3 linked regions of the Oryzias latipes genome follow. The main gene of each other region encodes a partner of the protein of the gene in region 3 in a complex. Links are inferred from orthologs where the notes say so. Each region holds a gene or a part of one and is shown on either strand. Other genes may lie near its edges. The genes, in order: pold2, pold4 and pold1.

Region 1 (10,498 bases), on a different chromosome or scaffold from region 3:
GCATCTATGGAATCTGTTATTAAAATGACCAACAATAAAATCACAAGGTGCAGGTAAAATCTGAGCAGGAGTTTGCTTAAAAATATCAATAAAACTTGCAGCCACTTCAGGAGTTAAATACCGTTTCCTCACAGTTTTCACTATGAGGAAAATGTCTCCAATGTAAGTGAATACATGAATGAGGAACCACTTAGTGACATTGACCAAACGTCTGAGAAAAAGACACAACCACTGACTTGATTATTCAGATTTTAGTCGAAACAAGAGAGAAATCTGAAGGACCTTTGCAAACACTGCAATTTGCTTCATAAAGATTTCCGTGTTTTGGTTTGAACCACTGCAGATATTCAACTCGATTCAAAAATACTTTCCTAGTCTCCAAAGGTGAGCATGAACATTTGTACCAACTTATTTTCTGAAATCCTTCAGAGTCATTGGCTTGGCGGTCGTTATAACTTTGTCACAGCAGATGGGAAGCTTCTGAATGAAGGCCTCTGTTGTTGACTTAATGTGGAGGATCCATGAGGTTTTCCCATAATGCTCCAAAAAAGAACCCAGGCCAGAATCAGCAACTAAAGACCCACTCCAATAAAAATCCTGCTTTTGGTGTTTTAAAAATGTTCTTGTGGTAATTTTCTGATGGTGGAGGACACATATGAATAAAGTTGAGATCAAATTCTGATTTTTTTTTTAATATTTCTTACTTCAATTTGTTGTGAATCAGGAGCAGACAAAAATGCTGTTGAAAAAAGCCATTTTGTTTCGCTGCTAATGTTAGGATGGGGTTGTGAGGGGCTGTAAGCTAGCGGGACAGAATGTAAACAAAGCGATGACGGGAAGAGTGGGGACCGTGGCACCGTGCCAGCAGTCTCACTCACAACCAAATTTCTAATGAACTCCTGGCGCTCTGCAGAAATGATGTCTTAGAAAGTCTTGTTTTTCCCCCCTCTAAAAACGGCATAATCATACTTAAAGACCACTGATTTTAAAATAGATCAAAAGATGATCAGAGTAGGACTTTAACAGTTTGTTCTTAAGGTCAGGGTACAAACTCTGATCGTTGAAGGATCTGAGTAATTGGTACCGGGCCTCACAAAAAAGCATACATGGCTTGCAATTTGATTCAAAACTGAGTTTTATTTTGGAAAACTTTCTGCCAAAACTGTCTGTCCCTCAGTCAAAGGGTTCGCCCTGGTCACGTGTCTTACCTGCAGCCACTACCTTCTCAAAGACGCTGATCACATCCGTGACACTTAGTACATCACTGCCAAAATGAAAACCCCAAGCTAGCAAAGTCAACAACAAAAAAACATATTTGGAAAATTTATTTAGGCAGAAAAGAGCCACAGAGGAAGAAACTTCAAAAAATAAACAATCTGCATTGAAGTCTCTACTTAAAATATGGATTCATAGGTCGCTCCCATACAAGCAGGCTCAGCAACATATGCATTTACCAACCTTTATCAAGTTAGGAAGTCATTGTTGATAAAGTTGCAAACCCAGAGTATTAAAAATAGAAAATAATAGTTTTTATGTCCATCACAGCCTAAAGGCCAGTCTATGAAAATCTTGTCTGACAATAAAGCGGTTGATGCTGCTTTAGGCCATTTGCTCTGGTACTCGGTAAAACCTAGAGTCTAAATTTCCACACGCCTGCAAGATCATTTCAGGTTAAGCAAGACGCTTAACCCGACGCATCAAGACGCTTGATGACAAAAATCGTGTGAATGATGATGCTGCGTACCTCACTCCATCAATGCTGGCTTCAAATGGATTAGAGACCAGCTGCAGGGTGTTGTATGCAGAAGATAAGGGGAACATACATGGGTGAAGAGGTTGCTGTGGGAGAGTGTAGTTGGTTGGATCATACTGGCCCGGCATTACATCTACTGGAACAGAAGCCTTAAAAAACAAAAGAGGCAATACCAGTGAGCAATTACTACACAAAACATTCAAAAGTCCGTTTTTTTTATAAATGTCTCCCAAAACACCCATCTGCTCTGTCTGTGCTTTACTATGTCCTCCAGACGCTGATAAACAAAATAAACTGCAATATTGAGTTTGTTTGTAATTCCTTTATCAAACCACTAGATGGAGATATATCCTTTTTGGACAGACTTTTCCTTTTTTCTTTTTAAAGAAAGAGATTTGTTACAATGGATTATTAATTTCTACTTGATAAAATAATGGATCTTTGCTGTTAGAGAGGTTCCACACTCATCTTGGTTCAGTTATTTAAAAACTAGGAAACAACATGAGGGGATCAATAAAAATATTTTCACCGGAAACTGTTGGCTGCCTGAAGAATCAGGTCTTGGACTCCCGACTGTTTAAGTTAGATCTTTATTGGTTTTTATTGGGTTTTATTTATTTTTGTTTAATTTATTGATTTTATGCTGTTTGTTTTTGTTTGTTGTTTTGTTTTTACCCAGCGTTGTTAAGCACTTTCTAAATAAAGTTGACTTTATTTAGTTTTATTATTGCTGTCTAAAAATTGTTTAAATAAATTGTTTCAGTGACTGGCAAAATATCTCTGTTTTCAGGAAATAATACCGTTTCATAAAGTAAAAAAAAAAAAGGATGTGACCAAAGCAGATGACGTGATTGTTGGTAAAGGAGACACTTTGTAACAGATAAAAGAAATTAAGATCTTTCTCTTTCGGCTTTTCCCATCAGGGGTCGCCACAGCGAATCATCCTTTTCCACCTCACTCTATCATGAACATCTTCTACCCTAACGTTAGCCAACTTCATGTCCTCTGTTAAGACATCCATATATCTCCTCTTTGGCCGTCCTCTTGCCCTCCGGCCAGGCAGCTCCATCTCCAACATCCTTCTACCAATATATCCACTATCCCTCCTCTGAACATGTCCAAACCATCTCAGTCTGGCTTCTCTGACTTTGTCGCTAACACAGGCAACGTGAGCCGTCCCTCTGATGTACTCGTTCCTTATCCTGTCTAACCTGGTCACTCCTAAGGAGAACCTCAACATCTTCATCTCTGCTACCTCCATCTCAGCCTCTTGTCTCTGTCTCACTGCTACCGTCTCTAACCCATAGAGCAGAGCTGGTCTCACCACTGTCTTGTACACCTTTCCTTTGAGTCTTGCTGGCACTCTTCTGTCACACAACACTCCTGACACTTTCCTCCAACCGCTCCAACCTGCCTGCACTCGCCTCTTCACCTCTTTTCCACAATCCCCATCACACTGAACTGTTGACCCCAAGTACTTAAACTCCTGCACCTTCTTCACCTCAGCCCCCTGTAACCTAACACTTCTACCTTGATCCCTCTCGTTCAGACACATGTATTCTGTCTTACTACGACTGACCTTCATGCCTCTTCTTTCCAGAGCAAACCTCCACCTCTCTAGCTGTTCCTCCACCTGCTCTCTACTCTCACTGCAAATTACAATTTCATCCGCAAACATCATTGTCCAGGGAGATTCCTGTCTTACCTCGTCTGTCAGCCTGTCCATCAGCATAGCAAACAAAAAAGGACTCAAAGCTGATCCTTGGTGTAGTCCCACCTCCACCTTGAACTCCTCTGTCTGACCTACAGCACATCTCACCACCGTCATACTTCTCTCATACATGTCCTGAACTACTCTGACATACTTCTCTGCCACTCCAGACGACCTCATACAGTACCACAGCTCCTCCCTCGGCACCCTGTCATACGCCTTCTCTAAATCTACGAACACACAATGCAGCTCCTTCTGACCTTCTCTGTACTTTTCCATCAACATTCTCAAAGCAAAAATGGCATCAGTGGTGCTCTTACGGGGCATGAAACCATACTGCTGCTCACAAATCTCCACCTTCTTCCTAAGCCTGGCTTCCACTACTCTTTCCCACAGCTTCATTGTGTGGCTCATCAACTTTATTCCTCTATAGTTGCTGCAGTTCTGCATGTCACCCTTGTGACATGCAGAACTGCAGCAGATAAAAGAAATTAAGATAAAAAGTAAATAAAACCAGGTTTTGGCAGGTATTTCATGACAACAATTTAAACGATAAGTTTATTGATTCTGTTTATAACAGTCGGTTTCATGGAAAGTAGTTTAAACATAGCAAACAAACTCATCAAATGTTTTAGAAGAAATGTGACATTTTATTTACTTATGTACTATTTTTCCTTCTGCTTTGATTAAACAGGTCAACATTTGTGAAATGTATTGATTTGAATTTCTGATTTCTGGTCACGAGTTTGTCACAGCTGATAGTTTATTTAACTTTGCAATAAAGTGAATTTAAACTAGAAGAATACATAAATGCTTATTCTCTTTTATGTTTTACTCTTTATTTTAATTTTCTAATTTTTGGGTATTTTTTCAAAATAAAAGAAGAAAATAAAACAAAACAAAAAAAGAGTTTGAATGGTGCCAAAGTAAACCCATAAAACAAAGACCTGGCAAACAACAAAATGCGTCCTGCTATATTATAGTTATCGTTGGTAATAGTTTAATCTTAGATGACTTTTACACAGCCGGCTCACCACCAGCTGAAGCAGCAGCTCATCAAGAACACGGATGGCTTCCACACTGCCAGCCTGGGTCTTCTTTGTGAGGTACTTGGCCTGAAACAGGAAAAAAAAGGCATTTGATAGTTAAAAGTAAAGTTCAAAAAGTCAACTTATCCAAAATAAGGACAAAGATGATAAGGAAAGTCAAGTGGTTGCATGTCAGGGGGGATGACCTTTGTTGATGCGTCTTTATCCTGGGTGTTTTGGCTCAGGAGGTTTCCAGCCAACAGAACCCGGGAAATTGCTGCTGCGCCGCTTTGTTCGCCTGTGTCTCCAAGCTGACCGGTGACCATGTCAACCAGCAACTGCAGCCCCAGCATGCTGTCAGCATTGTGGCCCCCTAACCCGAGTCCTGAAGCCAGGAGGACAAACCTGTGCCAAGACAAAGCTTTAATGAGCTGCAACCCTTAACTGCAAAGGTTTACCTGTGCACACCTGAGCTCACCTGTCTGAGCTGAGCGCAGGTCTTGGTGTCTGTAAAGGAAGATCAGCCATGCAAAAGTCCTCAACGGTGAACTTGCCATCGTTCTTTTCAGCTCCATATATTGCAACGACACTACCTAAGAGGGGCAACTTTTTTTTAACATAAAGAATTTATTAAAGTATCAAATATCATCAATTACACTGACCTGTGACACACTTATCTTTATCAAATTTGCCCTCCAACTTGATCCTCTGGAGTTCATCCTCTAAAATCAGCTCATCTGCTTCACTGATGTATTTGGCTCGTGCAGGCTGAGGCAGCAGATTGTGCTGAAAAACAGACGTCCAGGATCTTTAAAATGAAAGGAACAGATCAAACGTGGCTTTGTTTATCCAAAAAAGACCAGACTCCTAACCTCTTCACTGATTTCCTTCAGGATGGATGGCTGCAGCTCCATTCGCTTGAACAAGGTCCCCACAATACAACACTGCTCCCCCGGTTCTAGGTCGCACAGTTTCTTGATAAGAACATTAGATCCTGACAGAGAAGAGGGGGAAAGAAGTATTGGATAATCAAGTGATGGTTAAACTGGCATGCTAACATGATGAACTCACCCCACTTCTGCTGAGCTCTCTCTGCCAGCAGGGGCCTCATCTGCATGAGTCTTGCTGCATAAATGTGAGCATACTGACGACTAAAGCTCCTCTGACCAACTCTGTAACGATCGGAGTACAACTCGTAGGGTAGTGATATCCTTTCGAAGGTAGGGCCCTGCTCCTCAGAGGCAGGGCTGCAGAGAAGAGAGGGGCCATTCTTCTGGGCGCTCACGTCAGAAAACATGGTTTTCCTTTAAAGGAATTAAGTAAAGGAACATTAAAATCCTTGTTAACCAGTTGAATGTTTAAGATTCAGCGTCCCCCTTTACAGCAACAACATATTATGTCACTGACTCATTTCCCTACAAATAACAAAAGTAGAACAACAATACCTTAAACGGGAAGTCCTTTTAGATGTTTTAAGAAAAAGCGCAGTTCCCGCGGAATAGCCCGCTAAAGCTTTTATCGGGAAGTCTCGCGAGACGTTAGTTATGTCTTTCCAGCATATCGTTTATCTAATTAATGTTTTTGATTGTTTATTTGTTTGCTTGTTTGTTTAAAAAACGGTATGAAAATAACATTTTAAAAGAAAACGTGAATGTAATCGTTTTACAAATATTTTTTTAAATAAACTTTATTGCACAATATGCCATTTTACAAGGATATACTTTTAGGTATGCAATAAAAACACAACTGCAAATATCAAATACACATATTTAACAAACAGAAGAATAAGAATAGAAATAAAAATGAGCCAGGGGTTTAAACTCTAAGAGAAATCGTCTTACAAAGATGCCGTCAGGAAATTTTAAGTAGATGTCGCCTACATGTGACGTCACACAACCGTCAGAGCAGCGCACCGTGTCGCCATTTTTGTTACTCTTTGTACGACATTGTTAGCCCCTTGTACTGCTTTTCAAAGCACACTTTACCAGATTTTTTGACTTCTTTGTCAAATAATGCAAGGAAACAGAGGCCCTCAGCATAACCACGGCCACAACCGCCAGGGGGAATACTTCAAAACCGAAGGACCTAATAGCAATGGCCAACAGCCGGAGACCAGCGAGCAGACCAACCCCAACGCGGCCTTAACCATGGACCTGCAGAGCTTCAGGAAACCCGGAGAAAAGACCTTCACACAGCGGAGCAGGCTGTTTGTGGGAAACCTACCCACAGGCGTCACAGAAGATGACCTGGAGAAGCTGTTTGCAAAGTATGGTAAAGCCAGTGAGATTTTTATTAACAAAGAAAGAGGCTTCGGCTTCATCCGCCTGGAAACCAGGATCATAGCTGAGATCGCCAGAGCCGAGCTGGATGATCATGTATTCAGGGGCAGACCTATCCGAGTCAAGTTTGCTACGCACGGTGCCGCTTTGAGTGTAAAGAATTTACCAGAGTTTGCCTCCAACGATCTCCTGGAAGAAGCTTTCGCTATTTTCGGGCAGGTGGAGAGGGCGGTGGTGATTGTGGATGACAGGGGGAGGCCCACGGGGAAAGGCATCGTCGAGTTCACCTCAAAGCCCGCAGCCAGGAAGGCTCTGGATAAATGCAATGATGGTGCCTATCTTCTCACAGCCTTCCCCCGACCCATTACAGTGGAGCCCATGGAACAGTTCGACGAAGATGAAGGACTGACCGAGAAGTTGATCAACAAGAACCAACAGTATCACAAAGAACGGGAGCAGCCACCGCGTTTTGCTCAGCCGGGCTCCTTTGAGTATGAATATGCAATGCGTTGGAAAGCCCTGATGGAGATGGAGAAGCAGCAGTACGAGATGGTGGACCGCAACATGAAAGAAGCTCAAGAGAAGCTGGAGGCTGAGATGGAGGCAGCCAGACACGAGCATCAAGTGATGCTGATGAGGCAAGACCTGCTGAGGCGGCAGGAGGAGCTGCGCCGGATGGAAGAGCTCCACAACCAAGAGGTGCAGAAGAGGAAGCAAGCGGAGCTCCGGCAGGAGGAGGAACGCCGGCGGAGGGAGGAGGAGATGAGGATGCGCAACGAGGAGATGATGAAGAGGCAGCAGGAGGGTTTCAGAACCAACTTTTCTGAAAACAGAGAACAAGATATGATGATGCACATGGGTGGTCACGGGTTGGGCATGAACAGAAATTCCCTAGGTGGGAATTCTGGACCTGCCAATGCTGCTGCTATGGCTACAGATAGCGCTCCGATGATGGCAGGTCCAGCAAACAACATGCCTGTAGGAGGACAGAGCGGCTTCCCCCGAGGCCTTCCGGGGCCTGGAGACTATAACAAGCAGCGGAGATTTTGAAGAGCTTCTTCCCTTGTCTTACTATGCTCACTGTAATTTTCCATTTTGGGTAGAAAGTGTTACTTTTGGACTTTGAAATGTGCATGTGTTTTTTTTTCTACCGTTTTTATTTGTCCTTTTCATTTTATTTTAGTACTAATATGTCATAACTCCAAATGAGCCATGCATTTTCAATTGTTTCTTACATTCACTAGATAGAGATGGAAAATGTTTCTTTGTCCTAAATATGTCAACTTTTCTGGAATAAAGTCATGATTCCTTAAAAAAAACATTGTCTCATTATAATAAACTTATGATTTATTTATCCAACCTTCATTGATCCAGGCAAAACAGATTAACAACAGCATTCTTATTTTCAACGGTGGCCCGATGAAGTGTCATAAACACAGAAGCAAATACTTCACATCCAGCCTGTTCATCCATTCACAAAACAATATCTGATGGCACCAGTGCAAGTATTTGATCTCATTCGGTACATGATCCTCAACATAACCTGAAGGATTCCGTGCAGATTTATGTACAGAGTGAAGAACACTGAACTGGTAATCCAGTGGTTTGCTACAGTAAAGAAGATGGTAAATATAAATGTAGAAGCTATGAAAACTCCATATGAATGAATTTAACTGGTTATTTATTAGCTACTAAGGAAGTGGGACACAAATTTTTCAATTTTGCAAAACAATTCAATGAGATTTATGACTGAAGAAATCCACAATGAAAAAAAATAAAGGTGTTTCACATTGAAGATTTGGAAACTTGAGCAAACCAGTGGTCAAAACTAACAAGAGGAACTACGTAAGATGATTTTGATTTTCAAAGTCAAAATTCAAACAGATGATTTTTGCTTGCTAGCTTGTATGCGCTTGCTGGACAGGTGTCATCTGATAACAAAATTATCATTTTTTCTTATCAGACCCCAAGAACTGAAAAAAAGTAGCTTCTTCAACTATCCTGCAAGTACATCATAAATATAGGTTGATAACAATTTGATGATAACAAACGTGCAAGTGTTCTCTGGAAATGTACGCTGTGAAGTCTGCACTTTGTGCCCTGCAGGACACAAGGTAAGCTTTCTCCTCAGGTTTCTCATCCCCTCATTCTGTTTGACAATCGTGTCAATTTGGAAAATCTTACTCTAGAAAAGCGTGCAGGGTATGCAGGCTATGAAGGTGTCATGCATCACAGATGTTTGTTTAAATTAGTTTTTTATAGTTTGGTTTAAAAAAACAGAAACAGCATCTGTTAAAATAGTTTTGTAAATTAATCTTGCCGCCTCAATGAATTCATGAGCGTGTTCTAAATTTTCTGCTTTAAAATGATAATTTCCCATGCATTTGGCTTCCAGTGCTATTTAGTGCAGAAAAAATATGAAAGCCTTAGAAAATGTTTTTTAACCCTTGTGTTATCTTAGATGACCCCACCATTAATTGACCTTGACAAAGGTGGATAAAGGTGGAAAGAGTTCATGTAATCCATGGACACCAGTGAGGTTCACAAATCATTGAAGAAAAAAGGTTTAGCACACTGTCTAGTGGGTCTAGATGACCCAACTCCCAATGTTAAAGTGCCTAGGATAGCACAAGGGTCAATTGATATTTCACATTTAATAAACAAATACTCTTTATGATTATTCCAAGCTTTAAGACCAAAATGTGGTGCAGTCAAATACAATATCATAACAAGTTAATAGATTTCAGGGTAAAATTAGTGGATGCTTCCTTATGTTTTGTATGTTTTCTTAACATGTAAATGAATGAAAATCAAATTTTTATTGCTTTACTCACTAAAAGGAAAAGGGATTATCGATTTTATTTCGTGGAAAACGAATGTCATTATTTTTTAGTGTATTGTGGTTGTGTCGATTAAGTATCAAATAGAAAGATCTTTTTGAGGGAGACAAAATGAGAATAAAAATGTGTTTAGGTAGTATTTCTCTCAGTCAGTATTCCACTCAAAAAATGAAATGATGTCGTCTATAAGCCTTCAAAGTTCCCATTTGTCTCTTGCACAATAATTTTAAGGACAAATCTGCAGTAAGTCTGCCACTAAATCCAACTGCTAAATACTGTGCTTGAAGAATATTAGCAAAATATGATCTACTCCAAAGGAAAATACCACCTAAACAAAAAAAAATTTGTTTTAGAACAAAAAAGGAAAGCTGAAAATTCATGCAATTGTTTTCACTCAAAGCTGAAAATGGCGTCTGAAGGACAAAATCCTGACCATATAAGTCTTAAATGTTTTCTCTCTCTTTCTTGTTTATTTCTTTCTTCCTGTCTGTCTTTATTATTTTTGTCTTTCCTTCTTTCTTGGCTCATTAAAACTATTAAATGATCAATGATTGTGTTATTCAAGACTGAAAAGGAAAAACAAATACAAGAGAATGAGTGTGACTCAAAATTAAAAGTCTGTTTTTTCATAAATTGGTTCAATTTGTTACAAGTCCTCTGTTTAAAAATCCATAATTTTAACAAAAAATAATTTTATAAACTGTTGAAGATTACATCCATAAGACAAATTAGTAATGAAAAAAATAAGAAAACATTTTACTTTGAAAAGCTGTCTCTGTTTTAGAATAAAAAAATAAATCTGACTTCCTGAACAAGCATTTGCATAAAATCTGAATTGCTTGAATGTTATTTCTCCCGCAAACAAATCAAATGTGGGCAGATTTTTA
Region 2 (10,347 bases), on a different chromosome or scaffold from region 3:
AATTCCATTTTAGCAAGAATTTAATGCCTCCCATTGTGTCAAATATGTATTTGGGAAATGCATTCCAGATATTGTCTTCCTCTTTCAATAACTGACTTAGCCACTTTATTTTAAGAGTTGTTTAAAGTTTCAAAGGTTAATACATCCATGCCACCATATTTTCTGGTGTTACATAAAACATTTTTCCTTAAGTAATGACATTTTTTCCTCCAAATCAAATCAAATAATGTTTTGTTTAATAGGTTCCAGATGTGTTTTGGCATTTCTAAAGACAGAGACACATAGACAGATCTAGAGATTCGCTCAGCTTTAGAGAACAGAATTCTACCGTTCAGAGAAAGATCTCTCATTAACCACATGTTATATCTTTTGATAATTTGTTCAGTTATTGGCTTGAAATTAACTTCACTGCGATTTTTTTCATTTTTATCAATAATTACACCAAGATATGTAAGTGAAGATTTAACTGGAATACCGTTGATTTCTGGTGAATCACAATCTTTTAGTGGAAACAGGACAGATTTGTTAAGGTTCATTTCTAATCCAGAAAAGTCCTTGATTCCTTTAATTGCATTTGTTATTTCATGTTTATTGGCCAAAAAAATTGTTGTCATCTGCTAGTTGAGAGAGTTTAAATTCTCTCCCCAAAGCTGTAAAACCACGAAATGGACATTTTTTAAATGAAGGGCCATAACCTGAGCAACTAGTAAAAAGAGAAAAGGGCTGAGAGGACATCCCTGCAGGATTCCTCTGTTAATGTCACATCTGGGAGTTGTGCCAGTTTAATGGAGCTGCTGCATCCATTGTATAGAACCTCAATTGCTTTTAAAAATCTTTTACCAAATCCAAATTCTTTAATAACTCGAATCATAAAACTGTGACTAATTGTTTCAAATGCCTTGTAGAAGTCAACAAATAAGATAAAACTATCATCTTTAATATATTTATTATAATCAATCATGTCAAGTATTAATCTGATATTATTGGCAATATTTCTACCAGGCATGAAACCAGATTGTTCTTCATCAATAATGTTATCCAGTCCTGGTTTCAATCTTTTGGCAAAAATAAGAGCGAATATTTTAGCATCATTGTTTAACAGACTAATTGGTCTCCAGTTTTCTATGCATAATTTATCTTTTTGTGGTTTGGGGATGAGTTTGATGAGGCTTGTCTGAGAGTTGGGGGCAATATACCAATGTCTAAAGCCTCTTCAAATAAATTTGATAGAAAAGGGGTCAATTTAGCAATAAAGAATTTATAAAACTCACTTGTTAGTCCATCATTACCTGGACTTTTATTATCTTTAAGAGATTTAATACAGTCTTCAACTTCCTCTGTTCTAATTTTCTGGTCACAAGTCTTTTCAAAAGTTTCACTGACTTTTCCAATCTTATCTTTAATATTGTTAAAAAAATAATTCAATATCTTCTTCTCTAAAGCAATCTTTGGTGTAAAGTCTCTGATAGAATTTTGCAACATATTGAGAAACCTTTTTTGTATCTTCACTTATTGAATTATCAATTTTAATTTAACGTAGACAGGAAATTTCGAAATTTCTTTTTTCTAAGTTGAAAAAATATTTTTTATATTTCTCCCCCCTTTCTAACCATTTTCTTCTTGATCTAACAAACGCTCCTCGTGCTTTTTCTTCATATACTTCATTCAATTCTGATTGCAAAGAAATGAGTAATTTTTGTTCTAGATCAGATAAATTCGTTTTTTCATTAATAATCATTATTTTTCTTATTAGTTCTGACTCTTTTTTGTTTTGTTTTAGCAATTTTCTTCCCAAATGATTTTGCCAAAGATCTTATTTCATACTTCATTAACTCCCAACTATTTGAATATCTTTTTAATGTAAATGCTTGTTTCCAGTATTTATCAGTTAGTTTTTCTACTCCACCAGTAAATTCTTTATTGTTTAATAGTAAATTATTCCATTTCCAATAGTCTACGTTGCATTTGGGTGCATCAGTTTCCATATTAATTTTAATGGACACTGTATTGTGGTCTGAAAAAACATTGGATATAATCTCAACAGAATCAACTGTATTTTCTATGTCATTAGAAATGAGCCAAAAATCAAAGCGGGAACGCTGAGATCTGTCCTTATTGCTCCAAGTAAAAAGTCTGCATTTTTATTTTGGCAATACAAAAAACACATTTTCTTTTCAGTTGGTCTCTGATACCCCTGGCATTCACAGTTAGAACAGATAATGACATGAACTATAAGAACAAGAAAAAAGAGAAAATTAACTTAGGAACTTCCTGGTTTTGTTCAGGAACCGCTGCACATATTCAATCTGCCTTAAACTTTGAGTCTGTTTTATACCGTCATACTGACCTTTACAAACATATTTCAGCTTAACTCAGTATTTCCCTGCCGTTCACGAAAGCCCTGTTTCCAATGAAGTAGGCTTTCTCTCCTGTCTTCCTGGCTGCCTCCACTGCTGGCCATAGGCGGCTGCGAGCTTCCTTATCAGCAGATGTGAGATCTTCCTGGAGACGAAGATGATGATCCAGTAGGTAGACGTTCTTTGGAGAACTTTTCCACAGGAGATCTCTGGCCGATCTGGACAGGAACCTGATGATTATGGGTCGGGGACGTTGATTGGTTCCATTCCCACTGGGCTTTCCAACTCTGTGTGCGATGTTGATTGCTGAAACCACCACTGCAGAATCTTTGGTTGGTAACATCTCTTTAAAAATGTCTTGGACTCTTGATTTGACATCTTCTGGATTTCTTTCAGGGACACCAGACAGGCGTAATTCACTCTTCTGCTGTGGCGGTCGGCATCGTTCATTTTAGTTTCCATCTCTCCAACCTTCTTCTCCAGCTCTTCACGTTGCTTTTTCAGGCTCTCATTTAGTTTTTTCAAGTCCATGACCTCCTGATGGCAAAACTCAAGCGACTTCTTTAAATTGTCAATTTGGACAGTATTGTAATGCACAGCTTCGTCGGTTCTGTCTGCTCGTTCGTTAATTTTTTTGGTAAACGGTAAAGTCGGCTCAGTTGCAGCGCTTTTCTCAGGATTATTTTGCTTTTCTTCTCCTCTCACCTTCTTGGGGGGATGTTTCATAGGTGTATTTGGCATTGAAGAGCATTCTCCATCATCCTTCATGTGACATGCATAGGAATGGGTTTCTCTGATGTTTCGTTTTTCCTTAGAAGCATCCACTTCCATATTTTCCAAAGAGCTGCTGCGGTTGAGAGAGCCGCGGTTATCTTTTGATTTCTTCATCATTGTTAGTTTAGATTTTGAAGTATTAATTTGAAAAATCTTCACGGAAAAACTTTTGCTGTTGTTTCAAGGCAAAGGGTCGGCGAAAAAAACAGTTTGTGCAGCGAATTCCCAGTTTTAAGAACTCACAGAAGTTTCTTACATGCGGTCGCGGTCGCCATCTTGGCCCCTCTCGATTCCTCTGTTTAGTATTTACTGTTTATTGGCGCTCGTCTGCCACCTACAACAGGAAGAGGCTCTGTGCACCAAGTCAACGGTGCAAACCCCGTGAATCAGATGTTTGGTTTTCACGGCTCTGTTCCCATGAATGTCCGGTCTTGGTGTCAAATTAATACGGTCGCAGTTGTTAACGTCTCCTTCATGATCACGTTGGCAACGCTTCATGCTCTCGTGTTTGGAAGTGGACGCCACCCACACGTCACTAAATCAGAGTCCCCGATTGGTCACAGAGCTACAGAGCTGCATCGCTGCGTTCAGCATGAAAAAGTTCAACCAGTTGAACCGTCAGCGCCACCAATGAACGCCGGTTTGTGCGCAGAGCTCGCCACTGGACTTTAAAACGTACACAGCAACGCGCGATCACCAGCGTTCCGGACGCAGGAACCTGGAATTCTGGTCTAGACTGGGGGAGGAGCCGGTGCACGCCGGACACGGCTGCAACATGTCCTTAACGTGTTTCTGAAAGGAATGAGACCTCTGTCCGTGCTTCAGGAGGATCTAGAGACGTGATTGGGGGGCTGTGCCCTGGAGACCACCTAAGTCATTTACTGTAGAATATTTTACTGTCCAATAAAGTGAAACCATGTTCATAAAAATATTGCTCTTACTATTTGTATGGGAAGGTTAGACGTGATGTAGTGCAGGGATCATCAAGTTAGCAGCTGTTAGGACTTTTTTGTGCTACGGCTCACCTGAGACCTTTAACGTTTGATCTTTTATGAGGAGAAACTGAAATCCATGAACTGTACATGTCAAATTTCTGTGAACCCAGCTCACGCATACATACCAGTACCATGCCAGACAAAAGCTGATGTGAACTATGCGAGTGGCGCTCGCGGACCCCCCAGCGAGGGTGTGAGGAAGCAGCAGCAGCAGCAGCAGCTGATGTTCTCCAAGTCTGACATTTCACAGCCGCATCAGGGATTCCAAAGGGAACCGTCAAGTTCCTCTCTGAGCCTTTACCTCCACATACAAGTTTTTTTAATGGCATGTTGTTGTTTTTCCACCAGAACCAAACTGTCCTCACCGTGTCGAGGCTTTATTGCATCACTACACGCACACAATCCCCGAAACACAAACGCACATCCAGACGGATCACATGGAAGTGTTCTGACATGGAAAATGGGAGATTAATGGACAGACACATCAGAGGAGAACCAATCAAACTGCTTTTTATTGATTTTGACATTCAGGACCAGAGAAGTAGAGAAAGAGGAAACCGGCGGCGGTCCCCCCGGCGGCGTCCTTCCAGGCAGCCATCATTAGGGGTTGACCTCCAGCCACATTCCCACCGTCTTCGCTGTAGAGTCTTTTACTAAGGGCAGACCGCAGAGATCACGCCGCTGCATCGTCCTCCTGGGTCTGTAAGTTAATGGGCCTCTACAGGAAGACGGCGTGTCTTCTGTTCACTGATGGATGGATTGAGGTTTGAGAGAAGTTTGCTGCTTTTTGCCAGACTTCGTTTGTTTTTTAAGTGTGAGTGCATCTTCTAATGGCATATTATTGTTTAAGTGCATCTCTGTCATCTTTGACCCGCTGAGGCATTTCAAAGTGCTTCACAAAACCCCATAAGCTTTGCACCACACCCAAAAATTCTATAAAAGTCATTTTTACTAAACTGCAGGGACAGCAACCGGCTAAAGGCAGACTTTGCAGCTTTCAAACAGTTTCTGAGGACTGTAACATGTCTACGAAGAAGAAAAAATTATCTTTAAAAATTCAAGATAAAATTTTATATAGATAATAACTCCTGATGTGTTTTTATTGGTTCGTTTCATGTCATTTCGTTTCATTCTTGCATCAGACCGTTTGCGTCAGTGTGGTAAACTGCTGTTCAACAGTCGCCGGCAGGGGGCAGCAGAGGCGCGCGGCGCTCCAACTGGTCAGAAACACGAAGAAGAGCGCGCGCCGTGGCCGTCATTGTTTTGGTCCTCCGCCCTGCTGCTTTCTGCAAATCTGTTAAAGAGGAATAAATATTCACGGAAATCTTTTTGTTCTCCAAAATCAGGTGAGTTCATTTCGTATTTGTTCGGTTTTCTGAGCACTCTGTTGGCGCAGGCGCACTACAGTACCGTGTTTAGTCAAAAGTGAAAGCATATTATTTTCCTGCAGATTTCATCATAAAAACATTTAGTTTTTAAAATGAAATATATTTGGGACATTAAGGTCTGATAATGTTTCATAGATAACTGCGGTTAAGGTGTAATTACGTGTTTAGACTGTCCGTAAAGCTGTAATAAAGGCTCGAGCAGGTAAAGGGGCGTGGCTTCAGACTACATTCCACTTTTGAAAAAAGTCAAACTTGTTTTATTAGAAAAACTTTTACGAAAACCTTATAATAAACGTAGGGAGATGTAATAAGTCCTCATGCATAAGCAGACAGACTCCATCAAACTTTAAATCATCAGGAATTTCTGTTTGTTTGATTTTTATCTTTGATTAAAAAATAAGAAATTCCTAAATGTGTTTGAGTTCAACGAACATCACCTACTGAGTTTTCCTCCATAGCAGCATTTTAAAATGTCGTTCAGAGCAGCAGGATCACAAAGATGAACTGGATCCTAGAAGAAAATACAGATGACTGCATGTTTTTGGTTAATTTGTCTTCATTTTTGTGCTTTTCTGACCAACTTTAACCTGTTAATTCTAAAAGGAGAACAATTTAAATCACTTTAGGTGCAACCTTTGTGAAGAGGAGCCAGATTTATGCTGCTTTCTCAGCAGCCATACTATAATAAATGCAAATGAGTATTTTCATGTCTTCACAGAGAACAGATCTAAATATGTTTTTACCTAAATGACTGTGAATGTTTATGAATGTTTATATTTGAAGACCAGAGATGAAAAAGTCTGTCTGGAAAATTTTGGTCAACATTAAATCTGAATTTCTATGAAATGTTACAAACGATTCACTATTTCCAACATAAGTCACATGAATCTAAGTTATTCAGAAGTTCAAATCATTTTGGTTTAGATCTCAGAAACAATAAATCTCCTCGTTTGGCTCTGAAGCTCAAGCAGCTGCAGGTTGTTGGTTTTAACCAATCAAAATCCAGAAATCCTCAACCTTAGAAAGTTCTGAAGATTTTTATTGATTTAATGACAGGAGCCTGCAGAACGGGCTGCATATGGCGCTTGGTCCGGACTTTGGACATGCCTGCTGTAGACCGTTCTGTCCTGCTTCTGGAGGAATCATAAAGAAACTGATTGTGCAATAATTCTGTGAGATGAGGTATTACTCAAATGGACGAGTAATCTGTTACAGGTAGAGTAACTTGCAGGACGCTGTCATCGTCTCTGTCTGCAGCTGCATCATCGGTACAGCCGGTCACCATGACAACCAAGCGGGGACTCATCACTGACTCCTTCAAGGTGGTGAAGAAAAAGAAGAGAGAAAGGAAGCAGGAGAAGAGCCCCACGCCGCCCCCCCCTCGGACAGGTGGGGATCCTCCGGGTGTCCGCTGATGTGCGCGCCGTGCACGAGCCACGCGGCGTGCACGAGCCACGCGGCGTGCACGAGCCACGCGGCGTGCACGAGCCACGCGGTCACAGAAAGGTCACCTGAGGTCACAGAAAGGTCACCTGAGGTCACAGAAAGGTTACAGGAGGTCACAGAAAGGTCACCCCGGGTCACTGAAAGGTTACAGAAGGTCAAGAGTCCCATGAAAAGTGTCTCCTCCTCTGTCAGAGGGCTGTAAAAACGTGTTCTGTTTCTCTGAGTACAAAAACAGACGAGTATTGAAGAGACAAACTGTAAATGACATAGAAATAGAATCTTTACAGACATAATTATAAAGAGACATTAAAAAATAAATTCTACCTTTCAGGACTTTTTTGTTTGAAATCCGTTTTCTGCTTTTGCAGAAAATGTTGCAGACACCGTCCAGCAGGAGGCGCTGCAGAAGCTCAGAGACTTCGACTTGGAATTGAGATTTGGGCCGTGCACAGGTATGGAAGCAGATGGGGGGGCACGCCTTCAGTTTGCAGCTGGAGCAGCACTGGGGGGGTGGGGGGGTGGGGGGGTCTGGTTGATCTATAGGAAGCAGATCTAAACGTGTCTGCCGGACTTTGCTCCAGCCTCTAGAGATCACAGGAATGCTTTCATGTTAAATAATTAAACCTACTTTCCTCACATTTGACCTGAAATGGGAAGAAAAGAGACGGTTTTGGGGGAGCATCTCCTCTTGGAGGGAGGAGTGCAGCTTTCCTTCTCTGTTTTCAGGGATCAGTCGTCTGCAGAGGTGGGAGAGAGCAGAGCTGCACGGCCTGGACCCCCCCGAGGAGATCAGGGAGCTGCTGCTGAAAGCCCCCGCCGACCCCGAGTACAGCCTGAGGTGACACGTCCTGAAAAAACACACACTGTCCTACTGTTACGGCCAGCTCGTCTGCAGGCGGGTCACAGGAGTCCGGGTCACAGGAGTCCGGGTCTCAGGAGTCCTGGCAGAACCGCAGCGGCTCCTGAAGATGATCAGGAAGAAAATGCTTCTAAATGTTGAAATCCGGCTTTTCCACGTTCAAATAATGCAGACTTTCTCTAAAAAACGGAGATGATGCACTAAAAACTCTGACATCAGGGATGATTTTTAAAACTCTTTAATCTCAGACACAGATTTTTATCTTCTTTAAAAACTCTGACTCTTCATCTCCTTTATTTTCAGCCTGTGGAGCGAATATCCTTTGTGAGTCTGGAGGAGGAGGAGCCAAAGCCTGCAAAGTTCCACCTTTTTACGCCGTTTATCATCATAATGATCATGTTTCTGCATCACAACACGTTCTGTTTTTATGGACCGGTTCTGTTTTATTAAACAGGTTCTGCTGATTCTCTGGCTGCCTATGTTGTTGGGGGGGGGGGGGGGGGGGGGGGGGGGGGGGCTCTTCAGGTAATGTCACCTGCTGAATGTTTGGTATTAGAATCTGGAGGTGGGCAATAACACACAGATCCAAGCACCGTGTGATGGAAGCCACGGGCTCCACTCACTGACACACTTTTAGACTTTTTATAGCCGACCCAAATTTCTTTTTTTTTTTTAATCGGTTCGTCTATTTTAGGATCAAGTCTGAGGAAATGGACCCAAAGCCACTTCCTGCATTCTTAACTGTTATATTTTATGATGATCAGAAAAAAATATCAATTACTAAAATCCTAACCCAAAAAAGTGAATAACATTGTTTATATGGTATATTTATCGTTAGGAACGCTGTGTCATTTATTTATTCTGCAACATTTCCATGTTTTCTTTAAGTCCCGCCTCCAGAGCTCTCTGATTGGTTGCTGAATGCGTCACGCTCTCACCTCGGACACTGATTGGTTGTCATGGCTGTCACTCGAACAACTGAACGCGCTGACAGCCAGAGGCGGGCTCCGACCCCCAAAAGGAGCCTACTGATGCTTTATGGGCGGGGCTTCGCACGCGGAGTTTACATTCCGTGTCCTCTCATTGGTCAATTCAGTCTGCGCTAATCGCGTCTGCTACTGAGCAGCTTCAGACCATTTTTCAATAAAAATCCCTAAGAAGTTCTCTGGCATCTTAGTCCGGTCATTTGAATGAGTTTAAAAACGTAAAATATATTCAAACTACGTAACAGGACGAAGCTTCTTGACCGTTTTTAGGTCCCCACGCCACTCATTCCCCGCCCTTTCATGCAAATTAATGCTCAATAATTAGGAAAACGTCGTTTACAGGACTACCAACATGGATCATTAAACCCTCAAAGAGAGGGAGAACGAAGGTATTATTTTCCTTTATCGTCTCATTTGCGGATGCTTTTATTTTGACATGACCGGAAGTTATGTTTGGCGTCGGTGGATTTCACGCTGACTGCGCGCGCAGCTGACAGGATGAACTGTAATAAAACAGCATGAATAAGCGCTGAGAGAAGAACCTTTGCCTTAAAACTCTCTTTTTTTCCGGAAGAACGCGCTTCAGGTTTTTTGGACGCAGAGGAGTCACGTTTGTTAGTTTATCGTGTTTATTACTAACTAACGGGATTAACGAAGAGGCTCTGCGGAAAACGTCCGTCGCATCTTCGGGAGGAATCGGGTCTGAAACCGATGCTGCTGTGATTCAACCCGCCTTCCTGACAGCGAGCGGACCCGACGGACGGACACCGATCTCCGGTAGGTGGCCCGTTCATCCCGGAGGATTAGCGTTAGCTCCCCGCCCGCCCCCCTCGTCGTGGGCTAACCGCTAGCTCTGATTGTGTAACCCGGTTACTGTGTGCGGTTCGGGTTCCGTGGAGCCCGGACCCACGTCCAGCCGAGAACAGAACCGTTCTAGTCGTTAACGGGGATCGAACGGGCGTGGATGATGACGGGAGTCTGTGGGAATTGGATGCAGTAAGGGCAGAGACTGACATGCGCAGTTACAGGTGTGATCACGCACAGGTGCGATCTGCGCCTTTACCTGTTTAAGACTCATCAAAAGGCTCATTTCCCAGCGTCTTTGAACGCCTCACCCCTCTTTCTTCTTGATAAAATAAATCAATTGATTTTTTTTAATCGAGACACTCGGAGCAAAAAAAGATTTCACAATGTTTAATGTTTATACTAAACAACCCCCCCCCCCCCCAAAAAAAAAGAAAAGAGCCCCCCTCCCCCCTCCCCGAACATCCACTGAACTTTCCATGACAGCAGTTGACCTCCAGGAGCATCAGCTGATGCTGGACCTGTTGGAGAACATCTGCTCACACGTTTCACCACGGGACAGGAAGTGTGGGACTTTCAGTTTAAAAGCATGCTCTTCTCCACAGGGATGGACAACGCTCACACCAAAACCGTGGAGGAGGTGTTGTGCTTCTTCGGCGTGAACGAATCCACAGGTCTGAGCTGTGAGCAGCTGAAGAAGAACCGGGACCAATGGGGGCCCAACGGTAGCGTTTCTAT
Region 3 (10,527 bases):
TTTATTGTTGCTGAAAGTGAAAATTGACTCTTAAAACATTCCTTTCTCTTCTGCGTGTTATAAAAACATACTTTCTCGGTTTATCTGTTTGATGTTTAAGTATAATAATAATTTAATCTTTCAACATTTTAGATAGAGAAAGATGGCATTATGGCAACTATCCTTATAACAAGGAGTAAAAAATGCTTAGTGTAAAATATATTATGTTTTTATTAAAAAAAGGCACTCTTTTTGTTTTTAATCTTATTCTCCTTTAAGAAAAAAAACACAATTCTGCTTTATGCTAATACAAACTGGTTTGTTTTAAGGAATGTCCAGTTTTTTCTAAAGTAGGATTTTTTTTAATTCATGAGTGCAGGTTTTTTTTAAATTATTCTAACTGTAATTTTTCTATATTTTTTTTAATTAAATCTAAGAATGTCTTAACAACACATACAATTTGAGAGTGCCTTTTTTTTCCAAGGTAGACTTTGAGACTGCATGTGTCAAAATCATAAAATGGGACTGTTTAAGATGCTAGAAGAGATTGAAATTTAGAACTTTGAAGGGGCTTCTGAGCGGGTGTGGGTAATCTCAAAGGCACAGTTGTTTCCAAGCCAGACAGGATCTATGAATACATGTCTAAGGTAAGAAGGAGACGGTGCCAGAGCCCCACAAACAAACCGTATTTGACAAAACCCCAAAATTTTCACAAGAGTAAAGCTTTAGAACTTCTAATACTTGAAACAAAAAAAGTCAGTGTGAAAACCTGAAACCTATGTTTCAGATATTTTTTTTAAGCCAGAGCACCTTCAAATCATTGCCCTTAAAATGTACAATTTTTATTTTTTGTCTAAGTCGATATTTTGTCTATGTCATTTTCAGGTGTATGTCTCTGTCTAAGTGGTGTGGATTTGGTGCAGAAGTATAGCAGTTATGGGTGTAACGCAGGGGTGGGCAATTCCAGGCCTCGAGGGCCGGTGTGTCTGCATGATTTCAAGATAGCCTTTCCCTACTCATGGCTGATTACCTGGTTCAGGTGTGTCCAGCCAATAATCTTGCCCTACTCATAACTGATTACCTGGTTCAGGTGTGTCCAGCCAATTAGAACATGCCAGAGCAGGGTATGCTGGAAAACATGCAGGAATGCGGCCCTCAGTGCCCACCTCTGGTGTAACGCTTAATCGACTTTATTGATGAATCAATTTATATTTGATCGGCCTGTCTGAGGGAAGTTGTTAATCAAATCGACTAATAACGTCATCGAATAACTTCAAAATGAAATAGATCAATTAAATCAAAATTTGAAAATGCCATTTGGATTGACACAAGGTAGGTTCAGTTTACTAATGTAAAAATGACCAAGTACCATCAGAGCGGACAACACGCATGTGACTGCAGCAAAAAATGATCAGTCCATCCTTCCAGTCCAATGTGTGGAAACACTTTGAATTCTGCAAAGACTTGTGACCATAAAGTGTGGTAGAACGTTCTAATAATGTTCCCTTTGTATTATTTGCATGTGAAAATATAACATTGGGCTGAACTTTATGAAACTAAATGTGAATGGATTTGCCATTAATTATTGTTTACTTTTTTGTTTGTTTACATAATTATTTACACTTTACTATCTTGCAGGAAATACAAGGAATCTGGAAAACTTCACCTGCACTGTTCAGTACACTGATTGAATTTTTTTCTAAAGATTCACTGGATTGATTTAAGATCAGTGAATCAGATTCTTTAAAATGAACTAATATTGACTATGAATCACATTGTCAACAACAAAATTTGATGTGAATTGAATCGTTATCGTTGTAAAAATTAATAGTTACAATAGTATAAAGCATGTGTTTAAGCTGTGAGTGGAAGCTGAGGTTCCTGGAGAAAACCCACAGGTAAACAGGGAAAACAAGTGAAGAACAACCACTATGCTACAATGCAGCCTCTCGTAAGTTTAATTTCAATTAAAAATCAGGGTCTGCAACCTGCGGCTCTGGAGTGTGGCTATTTTACCCCTCCATTGTTGCTCAACTCTCAAAGAAAAGTAAAGAGCTTTTACTAAAAAGAAAATAAAAAAATAAACAGTAAGAAAAAAAGTACAGTAAACTAAGTCAAACGTTTTTTAACTGGTTCACAAACAGTTGAAAGACAGTTCGCATTGAATTAAAACATTTTGACAGATTTTGCGCACTTGATATTACAGCAATTTAACTGGATGTCAGGTCAGTAAGTAAAACAAGAATTATTATTAGAGGTTGACTGAGTTATAAGGTGGATTTTCTATTTTTGAACAAATGCAAGGATTTTAAGTGCACCTCAAGGTTCAAACACTGTTTTTGATTTGGTTTGTCTGATTTACAGAGTATATAGTGTTTGGATGGAAAAAGTTAGAAATTGTCCATTTCAATACCAGTGGTGCTAGTAGTTTTAAGCAAGGTAACTTTTTTCCTGTTTTATTCCTGTGTGTTTTTTTCTTTATACACTGTTCCAATTTTTTGTAATTTTCTATTGAGATTCTTAATAAATTATAAATAAAATAAAATAAAATAAAACACTCACTGGAAAAAAATAACACACTTACTGATTTTTTTCAAACATTTTCTTTTCTCACAGTAGTTTGTTGTTCCTAAAAAGGACACAGACAATATGGAATCAAGTTTTTTTCCCATATCCATTACTTCCTGAAATGAAAGGAGTTCATGTTAAAACAATAAAAAAATATATACAGTGAAAAGAACTTAAAATAATTGGGTTTAATATTCAAGATAATTCATGCCCTTACAGTAAAAATACACTTGGTTAATGTTTTTTGGCAGGATTTATATTTTTGGCTTTCAACAACTATCAATTGTCGCCTAGTCGCCTAGTGACTACAGGCCTATAGCACTGACCTCCCATGTTATGAAGGTCATGGAGCGGCTGGTGCTGTCACATCTCAGACCCCTGGTGAGCCCTTTCCAAGACCCACTGCAGTTTGCATACCAACCCAAGGCGGGAGTGGAGGATGCACTGCTATACCTGCTGCAGAGAGCATACTCCTCCCTGGAAAAGCCTAACACCACAGTGAGGATCATGTTCTTTGACTTTTCTTCAGCCTTCAATACCATCCAGCCGAGACTGATGAGGGAGAAGTTAGAGAAGATGCAGGTGGATGCCCCCCTGGTCTCATGGATTGAGGACTACCTGACAGGCCGACCTCAGTTTGTGAGACTGCAGAGCTGTGTGTCTGACACCCTGACAAGCAACACTGGAGCCCCTCAGGGAACCGTGCTGTCCCCCTTCCTATTCACCACATACACAGCTGACTTCCAGTACCACTCTGAGCTCTGTCACCTCCAGAAGTACTCTGATGACACAGCTGTAGTCGGGTGTGTGAAAGATGGATGGGAGGAGGAGTACAGGAGCCTCGTGGAGCGCTTCGTCAGGTGGTCTGGGGAAAATTACCTGCAGCTAAATGTGGCCAAGACTAAAGAGATGGTGATAGATTTTAGCAGGAGAAAGTCTTCGCCTCCCCCAGTCTGTATCGGTGGGACGGATGTGGAAGTTGTCTCGTCCTACAAGTTCCTGGGAGTACATCTAGACGATAAACTGGACTGGTCCACAAACACCGAGGCCGTCTACAAGAAGGGCACGAGCAGACTTTACTTCCTGAGGAGACTCAGGTCCTTCAATGTTTGCAGCAGGATGCTCTACATGTTCTACCAGTCTGTCATGGCAAGCACCATCTTCTTTGCTGCAGTGTGCTGGGGTGCTGGCATCAAAGCAAAGGACGCCAACAGACTGAATAAACTCATTAGGAAAGCAGGGTCTGTCATTGGCCTCAAGCCTGCCAAGCTGGAAGAGGTGGTTGGGGACAGACTACTGGCTAAACTGGGGACCATCATGGACAATCCTTCCCATCCCCTCTTCAGGGAGGTGGACAACCTGAGAAGCAGTTTCAGTGGCAGGATCATACACCCTCGCTGTGCCAGAGAACGATACAGGAAGTCATTCCTGCCATCAGCCATTAGACTCCACAACTCATCTGGCAGACTCGGATGTACATGAAAATTCTAGTTTCTAGTCACAGACTACACTTTTCAAATTGTATTTTACTCAATTTTTGTCCTGTTCTACTCTCTGTATTTTTTGTGTCTGTGTTTGTCTTTACCCCCCCCCCTCCCCCCCTTTTCCTTAGTGCTGCTACTGCAACTAAATTTCCCTTCGGGGATTAATAAAGTTCTTCTTGAATCTTGAATCTTGAATATTACTTTATTTAAGTATAAAAATAACATTCAGTTTGGACTGATTTACAAAGACAAAAATATTCATTCTTAGTTACCAATTTAATTATTTTAGAAATTTGTGTTTTAAATTAATGCAGTTTTTTGAAGAGCCTATTTTTTTGTTTTTTAAAAATGACTTTAACATTTAAAAATGTTTTGCAGATCCCTCCAAACATAGGAAAGGAGCAAAGCTATTGTTAGATTATATAAGTAAAGTAATAGGCCTGCTGTTGCATTTTGATTCATATGTCTACTACTTGGTCTTTGTTTCAGTGTTTTATTTTCGGGAGACTAGTTGCATTATGAGTGATAAAATGTATTGTCACTTTGAATATTTCAATAAAGATAAGAAGAAAAAAAGTCCTCTTTTTCCTGATTTTTTTTTAACTTCCGCTATGTGAATGTCGTCATCACCTACTCGCTTTGTGGTTGGACCAAAGTCAGAAGGCATTTTCCGCGGTTTCGTCTTGTGGCGGGAGTTGTCTACAGCCTGCTCGCATTGAGGAGGCAGCTTGTGCTGGTATTTACTTCACACTAATGTATTCGCTTTGTTTTCTTATTTTAACAACCCATTAAAGATGGACTCTGCAGTTGGGTCGGATTAGACAGCGGATTTACTGTATTGTGTTTACATAAGCCTCGCTAGCTTTGTTTTAGCTTAGGAAAAGAGAGAAACTGCTTCACGAATGATACTTTCTGTTATTGCTCCTAAAATTGAGTTAATGACATTGTTGAGCACATTAAGTTTGCGAAAATGTTCAGTACATGTTTATTTAGGATGAGGAAAAGGGCTGTCTGTCTTCGGAGCTTAGACGTTAACTAATGCTAACTGCGTGCGCTCGTGCGTGTTTGTTATGCAAAGCTACTGCAGCTGCAGCTTCTGACTTCACTGGAGGCTTTGAGGTTTGCTAACTTGGCCCAAATTCAACAAGGCTGCTCCTGCCAAACTCCATTGTCATTGCTTGCAGTAATGTCAGTTGGAAGTTTTGAACGTGAAGTTACCCGAGAAAACGTGTCTTCTTTCTTTCTTTTTTATATTTAGCATAATTTTTCTTTTTTTTTTTTTGGCACAGAGTGGAAATACTACTGTAATCAACTCAGGATCCACATGTTCCCATTTCAACAATAAATACTGATTTATTTTTCAGTTTTCCACTCCAAAGCCAGTGTTGTTTTATTGAAAAAAAGAATTTCTGATATAAGTAAGTTAAAAGGGATACTTGTATTAATACTCTTCAGTAAAGCCTTTTTTTTATTTTTAGATTTATTTTATTATGTCAATTATATTCTTTGCTTTCTCTTTTTGGAAAAACGGACAGACATGGCTTTTAATAAAAGGAACGGCGGCCCGCCTTTTGGTGGATTATCCCAGGCCAAACGGGGTAAAATGTCCGGGGAGTGGGAAGACAGCCCTTCCCAGTTTGAAGAGGAACTGTTGATGCTTGAAGAGGCAGAGATGGAGTTGGAGGAAATGGAGAGTCAGGCAGGACATGATGTCATTCCAGTGGGTGAGTTTTCACAACCATTAATGTCTTGTTTCAAATTTTTTCTGCATTACTTTACTAAAACTTAACAGACACATCAGCAAAGGCATGCAGACTTTGCAAAGCCCCATTTTCCCCCAAAATGTTGAAAAGTTTTACATCAAGATCGTAGACTTTCCGGTACATCTGGTTCATCAGTCATGGCTTTAATCTGTACCTAAACATGTAAACTATGCTCCAGAAAAAATGTTATATGTTGGTCTATTAACTTACAGCACCCCCAAAAAATAAGCAATTTTTGATGCTGAAGCTATTTATCTCATGATTTTATTTTTAATTTTTATTTCAGGTGACCTTTTTTCAGCCGACCTTAACCCTCGCTGGCCACGGCCTCACGCCCCCACGCTGAACCCATCTTCAGAAACTTTGGTGTTCCAGCAGATTGATCTTGATCACTATCTAGGTAATTACTAAGAAATAATCAGTTGGTTACACCACTTTGAGTATATAAACTAAAACGATGCAGGTAAAGTTTGGGGTTGAAATGCTGTAAAATGGGAGTATCTGTCATAAAAGGATCTGTTGTGAGTACATTTTGTCTCTTCAGGTGCATCGGTGGCAGGAATGCCTGGCCAGTTGCAAGAAAAAGTACCAATCATTAGGATGTTTGGCGTGACCGACAATGGCAACAGTGTGTGCTGCCATGTTCATGGGTTTGCACCTTACTTCTATGTTCCTGCACCAAATGGTAAGTCCCTAACTATGCCTTTTTTCTACTGAAGATGGTCTTAAACTAGTTTCTCTGTTCCAGAAGGGCACATCTATCAAACATCCCATTGAAAAATCTTTTATTGAAAGACCAACTCTTATCAAAACATTTATTTTTGCTGTTTCACATGTTTTTGTGGTATTTTTCTGATGAGGGAGGACATATATACACCAAAGGAAGCTTAAAATTGCATTTCTGAGTATTTCTTTATTTAAATTGTTGTGATTTAGGTGTAAATGTTGCAAAATGTTTGTTGCACCTGTATTGTTAGGTTGGGCGGTGTGAGGGGCTGTAAGCTAGTGGGAGAGCATGTGAATACTGGTAGATAAATCGGTTATGGGTGATGGAAGGGGGGGCCGGCCTAGTCCGCGCCAATATTTCCACCTATAACTTAGGCAAATTTCTAATAAACTAATGCTACTCTGCAAAAATTATCTCCCAAAAAATTAAACAGATTTATTTATTTTGTCCGAAAACCGCATAATCATAATTAATGGACCACTGGGAATGGTAAAAATGTGATTGGGTAGACAAACTAACGTCCTGTGTTCATACTTTTCTCCATTTCCTATGAAAGGGTTCAAATCTGAATTTTTGGGTGAGTTTAAGAGAGAACTGAACTCTGCTGTCCTGAAAGACATGCGCTCCAATAAAGACAACATTTCGGTCACGGTGTTGGCTGTGGACATCACCCGAAAAGAGAGTGAGTATAAGTTACGGGCGCAGTCCTAATTCTTTTCCTTTTATAGGAAACCGACAGTTTCTTCAGTGTTCGATGCTATAAAATCACAGAGACTTTTTTTTCTTGTTTTCTCCTTTAAGACATGTATGGTTACCACGGGCAACAGAGTATGGATTTCCTGAGGATCACCATGGCGATGCCTCGTCTCATTGCGCCTGCAAAGAGACTTCTGGAGCAGGGCTTTAAATTTGGACATTTTCCCATCCAGGGATACCAATCCTTCGAAGCCAACATAGACTTTGAAATCAGGTGTGTGTCCTCCCCAAAAACGGTCACATTTTTTAACCATAAACCATAAAATATTTGCTCCAATTTTAACGCTACCTGAGGACATTTTTAAAAATCGCTAACTCCAAGTTTGAGAGTGTTGCCATGGAACGTCACACTATAAAGCATTCATGTGTTCTCAGGTTTATGGTGGACAGCAATGTGGTTGGATGCTGCTGGATTGAACTCCCTAAAGACAAATGGAGGTTGAGGGAAGAGAGGAGCACAAGCACAGGAGAAGTGGACTCTCAGACTCCAGTCAAAGTTAGTCTTATTTATGCTAATTCACATTTTTTGAAAAGAAAAGAATCAACTTTTCTTTTCAAATTGCTGAGGGATGCTTTTGTACGTCTTTCCGTTTGTCCCATAGGTGTCTCTGTGTCAGTATGAAGTGGATGTCGCCTGGACAGATTTGATAAGTCACCCAGCAGAAGGGGAATGGCAGAGGATTGCACCACTTCGAGTCCTCAGTTTTGACATAGAATGTGCTGGAAGGAAAGGTAGGTTTCCTCATTTGATTTTAAATCACGGCTTACTTACTGAAAATCTCACAACTCTGGTCTTTGTGTTCAGGGATCTTTCCTGAACCGGATAAAGATCCCGTGATTCAGATAGCATCTATGGTGCAGCGGCAGGGTGAGACGGAGCCGTTTATTCGCACCGTGTTCACTCTTCAGTCCTGCACTAGCATCGTCGGCTCCCAGATCCTGTGCTTCACTCAGGAGAAGCAGCTTCTTCAGGTAGACACTTGCATCCCAGAGAAGTGGAATATTCTGGAACAGTTTTTCAATTCTGGATGTTTTCTGTTTGATCAGAGCTGGGCTGAATTTTTGCGGACGGTGGACCCAGATATCATAACTGGATACAACATCCAGAACTTCGACTTTCCGTATCTTATCAACAGGGCAGCAGCTCTGAAGGTTTGGTGAAGCCACTTTTACTTCGTCAAATTCAAAAGTCAAAAAGTGTCTTCCGGTTTAGGTAGCTTTGAAGAGATTCCTGCTTTCCCAGGTCCTCAAATTTTAATTTTCTCTTCTGTTCAGGTGACTTACTTTCCATACTTGGGCCGAGTGCGAAACATGAAGTCAGTTCTGAAGGAGTCGAACTTCCAGAGCAAACAGATGGGCCGCAGAGAGAACAAGACCATCAACATGGAAGGCCGAGTTCAGTTCGATCTGTTACAGGTCAGCAGGGCTGCAGCTATCCATTCTTTTTGTAATCGATTAATCTAGCACTTAATCGATCGATTAATCGAGTAATCGGATAAAACGATTTGTGTGTGTTTTTGAACAACCAAAACAAATAATGCATAACAAAAATGATGTGGCTGTAAAATGAACAAGCATTTGGCTTTTATTTCTCAACCGAGGTATTTATTTCCAAGTCCAAAAGTTTGGCTCCAAAAGTTAAGTGCCAAGTTGGCATTGCCAACAATTATAGAACAATGTACAGTTAAGTGAACTTACTGTAACATGTATAACATGTATTGTAAAACTAATATGAATATAAACTTAGTTTTTTGTCTTCTTAATACACAACATTACAAAAAAAGGATTGCACCTTCTGCAAATTTAGTTTAGTTAACCTGGGAACAAAAAATGAATATAAAATATCAAGCCAAGCAGGTACACAATGTATAAAATGTATAAAAAATTATGTAAATAAAACAATTATAAACAATTATAAATAATAAGCTGTAGTCTCAAAACAAACATCAAAATGTACGTGTTTGTGCGTGTGTGTATGTGCGTGCGTGTGTGTGTGTGTGAAGGGGTTCTTTTTTTTAGGCTATACTCTCTTGCAATTGAACGTGATAGTTACGTTTACTACTTTAAAACGTCATCAAAGTTAAACATCATATCTAGTCAAACCGCATCACGACATCGCTACAAATGCACTATGAGATTCAAATCAGCGAACATCAATAGGCTTAGACTACGTTAATTTACCTTGTTGGTCGGTGAATAGCATAGAGTGGATGTCTTCTGTTCAGATGCTGAATCATGGAAGATGTGCTGTTGTGGTATGCCAGCTCTATTTTGCCGTGACATCTCACGTTTTCTGCCGTTTATTTATAGATCTATTCTCCGCCATCGCGCCAACTAAATTCAAAAGGTCCGTGTGAATAAACGGTCCGTGTGACGCAATTAAATCCCTGCGCCGAGCGTATGGTGTGCGTGATAGGATTTTAACGAGGCTTGGAGGCAGAGTTTTTGCCTCGAGGAATTTTTGTAATCGAGTAACTCGAGGAATCGTTTCAGCCCTACAGGTCAGCAGTTAAAGTAAACACTGCCTACTTTTGTGGTCACTTTAAAGGTAGTATTTACTGGTCTTTCTTTCAGGTTCTCCTTAGAGATTACAAGTTGCGTTCCTACACTCTAAATGCTGTGAGTTTCCATTTTCTGCAAGAACAGAAGGAGGATGTGCAGCACTCCATCATCTCTGATCTGCAGGTAAAATGCACACCCTGTTTACATCTTCAACTTTATGACATTGTCTTTAGGTGCTACATATCTCTGCACTAAGTCTGGACATTGAAAAACATGAACTGCTCCTCTATCCTTTCTTCGACCCCAGAATGGAAACGAGCAAACGCGGCGCCGTCTGGCAGTCTACTGCCTGAAAGACGCGTACCTCCCGCTGCGCCTCCTGCAGAAGCTGATGTGTGTGATCAACTACATGGAGATGGCCAGAGTGACGGGTGTGCCGCTCAGTTACCTGCTCTCCAGAGGGCAGCAGATCAAAGTCGTCTCTCAGCTGCTGCGACAAGTAAGACAGACCGCCATGGTGGCTTTGCACTTGCTGAAATGGACTTTGAAGCTAACCGCTTGTCTGTGTGAAGGCCATGAAACAGAATCTGGTCATGCCTGTGGTGAAGACCGAAGGAGGAGAGGACTACACTGGAGCAACTGTCATCGAACCAGAAAAAGGGTAAGAACTTGATCTTATCTCCCTTTTTTTTCTAATTTCTGCCTTTTTTGTTTAAAAATAAATTTTATTTTAATGGACGTATTGTTA

The links.
Region 1: pold1 (region 3) and pold2 share a complex: the UniProt entries of both Homo sapiens proteins name them as parts of the tetrameric DNA polymerase delta complex. The link is inferred for Oryzias latipes from reciprocal best matches to the Homo sapiens genes POLD1 and POLD2.
Region 2: pold1 (region 3) and pold4 share a complex: the UniProt entries of both Homo sapiens proteins name them as parts of the tetrameric DNA polymerase delta complex. The link is inferred for Oryzias latipes from reciprocal best matches to the Homo sapiens genes POLD1 and POLD4.

The regions. Positions count from the first base shown.
Region 1 is NC_019867.2:18,717,709-18,728,206, forward strand, and holds the start of pold2 (DNA polymerase delta subunit 2), read right to left. Parts: upstream 6,062-10,498; 5' UTR 5,938-6,061; intron 5,797-5,937; 5' UTR 5,790-5,796; coding exon 5,564-5,789; intron 5,487-5,563; coding exon 5,365-5,486; intron 5,279-5,364; coding exon 5,155-5,278; intron 5,086-5,154; coding exon 4,971-5,085; intron 4,898-4,970; coding exon 4,699-4,897; intron 4,580-4,698; coding exon 4,499-4,579; intron 1,903-4,498; coding exon 1,745-1,902; intron 1-1,744. Other genes in the region: nono (non-POU domain-containing octamer-binding protein), read left to right, coding at 6,505-7,821. UniProt on the Homo sapiens protein: Accessory component of both the DNA polymerase delta complex and the DNA polymerase zeta complex.
Region 2 is NC_019859.2:1,161,431-1,171,777, reverse strand, and holds pold4 (DNA polymerase delta subunit 4), read left to right. Parts: upstream 1-5,338; 5' UTR 5,339-5,472; intron 5,473-6,729; 5' UTR 6,730-6,797; coding exon 6,798-6,903; intron 6,904-7,328; coding exon 7,329-7,412; intron 7,413-7,686; coding exon 7,687-7,798; intron 7,799-8,122; coding exon 8,123-8,147; 3' UTR 8,148-8,284; downstream 8,285-10,347. Other genes in the region: sarcoplasmic/endoplasmic reticulum calcium ATPase 2-like, read left to right, coding at 10,217-10,334. UniProt on the Homo sapiens protein: As a component of the tetrameric DNA polymerase delta complex (Pol-delta4), plays a role in high fidelity genome replication and repair.
Region 3 is NC_019866.2:14,479,666-14,490,192, reverse strand, and holds the start of pold1 (DNA polymerase delta catalytic subunit), read left to right. Parts: upstream 1-4,681; 5' UTR 4,682-4,767; intron 4,768-5,400; exon of another isoform or gene 5,401-5,449; intron 5,450-5,562; exon of another isoform or gene 5,563-5,566; 5' UTR 5,567-5,568; coding exon 5,569-5,755; intron 5,756-6,080; coding exon 6,081-6,194; intron 6,195-6,338; coding exon 6,339-6,479; intron 6,480-7,077; coding exon 7,078-7,203; intron 7,204-7,322; coding exon 7,323-7,491; intron 7,492-7,652; coding exon 7,653-7,773; intron 7,774-7,879; coding exon 7,880-8,009; intron 8,010-8,082; coding exon 8,083-8,249; intron 8,250-8,324; coding exon 8,325-8,429; intron 8,430-8,552; coding exon 8,553-8,693; intron 8,694-9,851; coding exon 9,852-9,962; intron 9,963-10,086; coding exon 10,087-10,278; intron 10,279-10,351; coding exon 10,352-10,440; intron 10,441-10,527. UniProt on the Homo sapiens protein: As the catalytic component of the trimeric (Pol-delta3 complex) and tetrameric DNA polymerase delta complexes (Pol-delta4 complex), plays a crucial role in high fidelity genome replication, including in lagging strand synthesis, and repair.